2 linked regions of the Canis lupus familiaris genome follow. The protein of the gene in region 2 interacts with the protein of the main gene of each other region in a biochemical or structural test. Links are inferred from orthologs where the notes say so. Each region holds a gene or a part of one and is shown on either strand. Other genes may lie near its edges. The genes, in order: DICER1 and AGO2.

Region 1 (3,817 bases), on a different chromosome or scaffold from region 2:
CATTACTGAAGAGTCATCTTACTGAACAGAGCGCTAAGGATAGATGACAGATTCTTACACATAACAGTGAAATGAAATGTTAAGGGAGTTTTGCTTTTTTTCTTGTTTTGAGTCACAGCATCATATATATTTATGCTCCTGAAAAAAAAAAAAAAAGGAGACAGAATCCTCTCCCCGTCAAAATAACAGTTTCTAAAATTCAATGAAGAGACGGTCTATTTAAAGGAATTAATTCACTATACCAAATACCTACTCTACTATAAATACACCATGGAAAGGAAACACAAAAGTTAATAGCACAAAATTCTCCAGTTCACCAAGAAATAAATGCTTCCAGTTACCAAAAACTTACCATTTCATCTTTTTCCCATTTATCTGCGTTACTTTTGTCTTGGTTTACTACATAACCAGGAGGAAGCCAATTCACAGGGGGATCAAATATTGATACCACCATGCGGCTGGGCAGTCCCTTCTTTTTTCCAAGCCGATACAGATTACAGTTGCTGACCTTTAGCAGAAAAAATTTTAAGATGCTTATCTGCATATGATCACTGCTGGAATTCATACCAGGCAAATAAACATATTTTTAGCTCAATGCTCTTCATATTATTGTATCTGATCATCAATTTATTCACGACAGCAAATATTATATTCCCATATATTCTACATCCTTCAGTGTAGATGAGAATTTCTGATTTTAAATGCAGATTAGAAAAAACTGATATGCAAATTCCTTACAAAGTCAGAACAAATAGTTCATACAATTTCAAACATTTGGAAATACAACCTAATGATATTAAATGCAAACTGCCAACTGGGACTATCAGAATAGAAAAAAATCCACATAAAAAGTCTAAGATGTCACAATATTTTCAAAGACATAAACGGGAGGGAATGCCACAACTCTGGCTATAAAGTGGAAGTTGGCACTGAACAGAGCTAAAATAATTTCATACTCCTAGAATCTAAGCCACAAACATAACTTTAATTACAATTATTTTCTCAAATATCATTCCTTTGTTTTGGATGGCATTTCAAGATATTTTTATTCAACCATTTTAAAACAGAGCAAAAGGTAATATTACTCACAACAATAAAATAGCTTCATTGTTTACCCTCTGGTGTGTTTTTCCTATGGACTCCATGTCCTCCCTAACTTATTCAAACTGTAACATTTTTATCCAGAGATGTCTAGTGAAAACCTGGAAATGAGGATCTAGAACTGTCAATCTCATTTTCATTTTCTACAAATGGGGTTCCTTTTTATGCAAATACTTCATAAGCCCCTTTTCCAGGGGAGCTCAACACCACTGAACAGGCACCTGCCACGGGAGAAACACCTGGTCGGGTGCCCCTGAAAGAACAGAGTCCACGAGACTGAGGAGCAGTCCCTGCAGACGACCCAACTGGGAGGGACAGGCATCTACCCGTGGCACCACATGCAGCATGCTATCGGAACAGCTCTGGTAAATGCCAGCATCCCTGTGCCTATATGGGATCACAGTGTCACAGAAGGCAACGAGAGGATGAAGATGGCAATCATGTTCAAAGTTAGATGGAATCGTGGGCAGGAAGGAACAGGAAGCAAAAGCTAAGGGCTCTGAGGTGCAATATGGGTTGGGCAGAAACGGGAAGAGCACTGGGAGAGGAACAGAGTGGGTGTGCACGTGCAGAGCCCATATGGAGACTAGCCAGGGGCTTAGATTTGGTCGGGACACAGGACGTGTCTGGAGTGTGAGCACAGACAAGGCCTTCCTTTGACACTGGGCTGAGGGAGTAACAACGATCTCTACAGGAAATAAGGAGTCAAAGCTTTCCCAGGAGACAAACAGATGAAATTTTTGAAATGTACATGAACTTCTTTCTTACCTAACAGAAAACATGTACTATTCCTTCCTACTCATCCTCAGGCTCTGACATTTTCTTCCTACACCTTATGGAAATCTCGTTTGTTCTGACAGTTTGATTATCACTCTTACAGAGACTATTCCCCCAAACCTTATCTAAATTATCTCAATACTTCAGTGAATATTCCACTTCATTTTCTACGAAGTCTGAAAACGCTACACCTATGTCACCACGAGCACCACCATTGCCCTAATTTCCCAGCTTACACACAGTCACCCTGGCATCAGAGGCCTCTCTGCCCTTCATTACACTGACAGGCAGCAAGGAGGGTGAAGGGTATGGGCTCTCACCTCCATCACCCCCAACTCTCTGATTAGTTAGGTAACCTTGCAGGAACTAATTAGTCTCTGGGTAGAGTTTCTCCATCTGCAAAATGGAGACACAATGTCTATCCCCCAGGGGCTCTCTCAGAAGACTGTACATGCGAGGTCTATAAAACACCCGAGGTAGTGTCTGCTGCTATAGCGTGACATCGGAGATTGAGGAGTGTGGTGGTGAAGAGCTAGGTCCCTAAGCCCAGACTCTCTGGGCTCGGCCACATAGTCTCATGTGACCCGCGTCAAGCGATCGTCTCTTGCCTCAGTACCCTCATCTAGCAACTATGGATAATAGAAGTATATACAACTATAAATAAAATTACAGAATAAAAGTGTACAGAACTACATCAGGCAATTTACAGAAGGTGGCAAGAGTAGTGTCTGGCTAAAGGAGGCACTTGCTGTGAGCTACAACTCGCATTCCCTCTGAAATACTACTCACCTCAGCCCTCTCCTCACTGCCAGAACTCCACAACTAACCCATTTTCCGCTTGCATAGATTCAAAGCCCCAACTGATCGCTCAGCTTGGTTTGGTTTCGCTTTTCCACTCAGGCTGCACTCTGCTGTCAGAGCCATCGTTTACAACCACCACTTCATGAACATTAAGAGCCACTCATGGGGCACCTGGGTGGCATAGTCGGTTGAGCGGCCGATTCTTGATTTTGGCTCAGGTAATGATCTCAGGGTCGTGAGATTGAGCCCTGCATCAGGCTCCGCACTGGGCATGGAGCCTGCTAGGATTCTCTCCCTCTGCCCCTCCTCCCAATATCTCTCTCTCTCTCCCTCTCAAAAAAAAAAGTAGAGGCTCTTGAGCTAAAGTGTCTTCAACATTCAAAATAAGTGCAAACTCCTTTGCCTAGTGAGACTAAAGATTTTCCACAAGAGCTTCACCCACCTGCCTTTTTAATCTTTTCTCAGGTATTTCCACACTTCTGACTGCTGCCACAGTCTAGTCAGAGTGCTAACACGCTCTGCCATTTGTTCATTGTGTTTACACACTATAAATCCACCTCTTCCATCAACGCCCTCTGATTACATGTGATACTCCTTCCTTCTAAGTGTTTAGGGCAAATAGCAGCTTTCTAAGTTATTTGTCAAGCAGGTACAGGTAGCCTTGTGATACCTCTTCTATCATCACTTAAATAGTGTGACTTTGTTGCTTTTCTTCCTTAAATCTTAATTCGCACTGGTTTCAGAACACACTCTTCCTTTGGCCTCTCAAGCACTGCTTGCTTGGAGCTCTGGCATCACTTCCTTTATACTGAAGAGTCACTGAGCTAGAGCACTGCTACTCTTTCCCTTCCTCACTCTCCAAAACCTCAAAGATGAGCTCCTCAATACAAGACTTGTGTTTTATTGATGTCTGTTTGCCTTGTGTGCCAGAATAGCATTCTCCTAAATAAATGCTAAACTGGATAAAATTAAAGCATGAGTAACTATGCCACATATTTCTTTATATCTCCCTCAGGATCTAGTAAGCATGCACACTCTCACAATGGTCCTAGGAGAACTGAATTCCTACCAATAAATAAGGCAGATACGGATCAGCTAACACTCGCCCAAAACCCAAGTGCCTCATCAGTGAAAAAGA
Region 2 (3,817 bases):
TCGGCCGAGCAATGCACAGGGGGCAGGACGTGGGGTGGTGGTGAGCGGCCGCCGGGCCTGCGCTCGGTCCCCCCGAAGGTACAGGCTACGCAATCTACGCGGGGGGGAGGCGGGTGGCGGTCACATTGACTCAATTGCATACTCCTGTATGTAAGCACTGAGAACCACAGGAGGTGGTCCAGTCTCCAGAACACTCTTGATATGCGAAACAGATCACAATAAGCACCCCGAAGTCAATAAAATGAAAAAACAGCATCTATCTATCACATTAATACTGCAAACCAGATATATATATTTTTTCTCTTACATTAAAGACATAACAGTGAAAAAGGATTGTACTGTATTTATCACCACAGACCCGTATTCTTTAGAAACTTTGGAAAATAAATGTCACAGTCCTATAGGACAAATCTTATGATTAGACTGTCGGCATATTGTCTTTTTTCTTTTTTTTTTTTTAAATAAATTTTTATTAAAATGGCACTTGTCTGCCAATCTCTCTGGACCTATAAATGTTGTAAACACACATGGCCCATCCTCTGCCCCCGCTCCTTATTTCAAGCTGAGTGAAAGGCAGGCAATGGCAGGACAAGACACCCATGGGCGCCTCGGCGGGCCACCTGCCCGAGGTCCTGAAGAGCTTGCGTCAGCCCTGTCAGGAGCACACTAGTATCACTCTGACATAAAACTTTAGTGACCACCTCAGAATGCTCAAGGCTTTAAAACCACAGCCACGATCTGCGTTGCTTTCACTCTCTGAGAACGTTCACAGCTAGTTTGAGCCCACCAATTTCATAGAGAATCATGTGTTAAAAACAAGTAAATTGAATGACCAAATAAATTAAAAATGTTTTAAAGCCCTGAGTTCATAGACTGGTTTTAGGAGATTTTTAGGAAACACGGGACTCTATTTTTAATAAGCAGCTTATAGATTTTGGCAAACCATATTTCCTACGACAATGGGGTCTCATACAGGTCTGCAGTTCAAAATCCAAGTTTGAAATCTGGGACGGAAGGCATTCTGGAAAATGGAGAATCTACTAAAATCAATGACGTCTCATGTTCGATGCTGGCTGTCACGGAAGGGCTGGGCATCTGTTGGTCTGAGTGTAGCTGGTCTCATGTGAATCCAACTCGGTACACAATCGTAAACACTAAAACACGTCAAGCAAAGTACATGGTGCGCAGCGTGTCCTGATGAACCTGGACTGCCTTTGCCAACGCTTGATGGTCTCGTCCATTACTCTGCCCGGAGGTATGGCTTCCTTCGGCACTGCGGGGATGGGAGGAGAGAGAGAGTGTGCAGCCTTTAATGCACCACGAGGCAGCGTGCGGGTAACTAGGTAAGACTATGCACTAGATGTCTGGGGTGGTGGCCATGCGGCTACTGGGCGGCAGTGTCAGTGCTGGCCTCCGGGTGTCTGTGTCACAGTCGGCTCCAGCCACAGGGGCCCCACTGCTTCCCGGTCTGAACACGGAGCTTGCCAAAGCGTGTTACAGAAGTGCCCCCTGCCATGACCCCAGCCAGTTTGAAAGGCATGCCACTCACCTGTCATGTTCTTTGTCCACCAGGTGGTACCTGGCCCGGAAGGCCACCAGGTGGGCATAGTATGCTGGCGCCGGGATGGACACGGAGCGTGTGCAGCGCACATAGGTGTGACACAGCTGGTAGGTGAGAATCTGCAGCTCATCGGAAGAGAAACGATTGTCATCCCAAAGCACGTGATAGTGGGAAGGCCTGCTTGTTCCCTAAAAGCAGATCAGAGGATCAGAGGAGTCAATGTGAGAGTGAGAAATCCAGAACTCACCTACGCGAGGGCACTGCTGAGAAAAGCCACGCTTTGGTCACGGTGGGCTATGCAACCTCCGTACAGAGAACACAGTGGGACGACTCCTAAGGACAAAACACTGTGGGCCCCTCACCGACAGAGACCTTCCCTGTACGTCCTACAAAGGCGTGTGGCCGGGGACAAGGCTGCGGCCCACGAAGTGGGAAGGAGTGGACCCTGAGTCAGCACCTCCGTCACCTGCTGCCCTTCTCGTAGCAGCCCCAGGGGCCCTGTCACCGCTCACATCTCTGCTAGCTCGCTGGTCACCGGGCTCCAGGCACATGGGACACCTCTTGCACCTCACCAGCGCACCTGGCCTCTGCCCCAGCTACTTCTGACTTCATCTCATCTAAAATGGGAACCCCGACCACAGCACACCAGTGGGTCCCTGCTCCTCAGCACCCACGGTCCCAAGCCGCACCTGTTCACTGGCCACCTGCCCAAGTGCCTTGGGGACAGGCTGGGGCCCCAGCCCTGGTTCCCCTAGTGTGCCCCCAGTGCCCGCTGGGGTCTGTGTTCGGAGACACCGAGAACGTGCGGAGGGCCCCCCCACCGTCCTTACCTGGATGCCAGCGTGACTACACAGGTAGAAGTCAAACTCGGTCGGGTGGGTGATTTTCGTGTCCACAGTTGTGCCTGCTGGAATGTTTCCACTTTTCCCGACCTTCGGCAACACAGGAGCCCATTAGACACGGGGCAGCAAGGTAAAGCTAGCAATTCCGCCTCACCCACACTGCGTTCCGCTGCTGGCCCTTCCTGATCGCAGGCTGCCCGATTTCGCAGTCTACACCAGCTAATGCATTTGCTCAGCGCTACAGAACTAAGATAAAATTTAACAAACACTAACTACTAGAAGTAAGTAAGTTCCTGTCCCATGACGGCTGGGGCTATTTTCCCCATCTCGTCAAGGCCCAGAAGAGAATCGTAGTTGTCTGCCCTTCACTGAGAATCTGTGTGTAACGCTTGAAGAACTCCCCATGACTGCTGAGGTCACCGACACACAAATCTAAAACCATGCACGATGGACACCTGACAGGTCATCAGCTGTGCACAAACACACCTGCTGTTCAAGGCACAAAAGCTAGAAAACCCTGAAAGCTGTCAGGAGCTCTTGCGCCTTGTGGGTGGCTTCATCACCACCACCCAAGAGGGCATGCTTTTCCCTTAGAGACCATCGGAGAAGCAGGGGTACAGACTAGGACTGCGAATTATATCCAACCACTTCACTCTAGGCTCACATTCTAGGATGACAAAGCCAGCAGACGCCCCGCTACTACCACTGGGGAGCAACAACGCCAAAGCTCTAGAGCCCAACCTATTTTTAGTAAATCACTAGTTTTTTAGTTATACAATTTTCAAACACAAACAAAAGAGAGAATCCCCGGTATAACCCCTGTGCCCCTTTGGGTGTGTATTTTACTTCTTGCCAACCTTTTTCACACCTTCTGATTTTTTTTTAAGTAAACGATTTGAAAATAGTGCCTCCCTCTGCTTCCCTCCTATGTTGCAGTCTCAGATTTAGACTTTATCATTCCTACATATGCTTTTATTTTTCACTGCATTTTTAAGTTTCCCTTAGCACTACCTGGTGTTACTTCCCAGGTTTTAAAGTTGTGTACGTGTGTCACATATGTTCTGCTACCTGCGGTTTTGCTCAATATTTACAATTTTGAGATGTATTCATGTGATACACACAGTCTATCATATTCATTGCCGTGTAGCATGTCAGTATATGAACACATCACAACCTCTTCTCCTGTTAGCAGATAAAGTTTTTGCTATCAAAAACAATACTGCAAAAGCTTAAAAAAAAGGGGGGGGGGGACTCCTGGGTGGCTCAGTGGTTGAGCATCTTCTTTCAGCTCAGGGTGTGATCCCGGGGTCCTGGGATTGAGTCCCGCATTGGGCTGCTCACAGGGAGCCTGCTTCTCCCTCTGCCTACGTCTCTGCCTCTCTCCTTCTGTGCCTTTCAAGAATAAATAAAATCT

The links.
Region 1: the proteins of AGO2 (region 2) and DICER1 form a complex in vitro, tested with the Homo sapiens proteins (2 studies listed by BioGRID and IntAct). The link is inferred for Canis lupus familiaris from reciprocal best matches to the Homo sapiens genes AGO2 and DICER1.

Annotation. Positions count from the first base shown.
Region 1 is NC_049229.1:64,309,143-64,312,959, forward strand, and holds part of DICER1 (endoribonuclease Dicer), read right to left. Parts: intron 509-3,817; coding exon 353-508; intron 1-352. UniProt on the Homo sapiens protein: Double-stranded RNA (dsRNA) endoribonuclease playing a central role in short dsRNA-mediated post-transcriptional gene silencing.
Region 2 is NC_049234.1:35,794,889-35,798,705, forward strand, and holds the end of AGO2 (protein argonaute-2), read right to left. Parts: intron 2,494-3,817; coding exon 2,392-2,493; intron 1,750-2,391; coding exon 1,550-1,749; intron 1,274-1,549; coding exon 1,165-1,273; 3' UTR 243-1,164; downstream 1-242.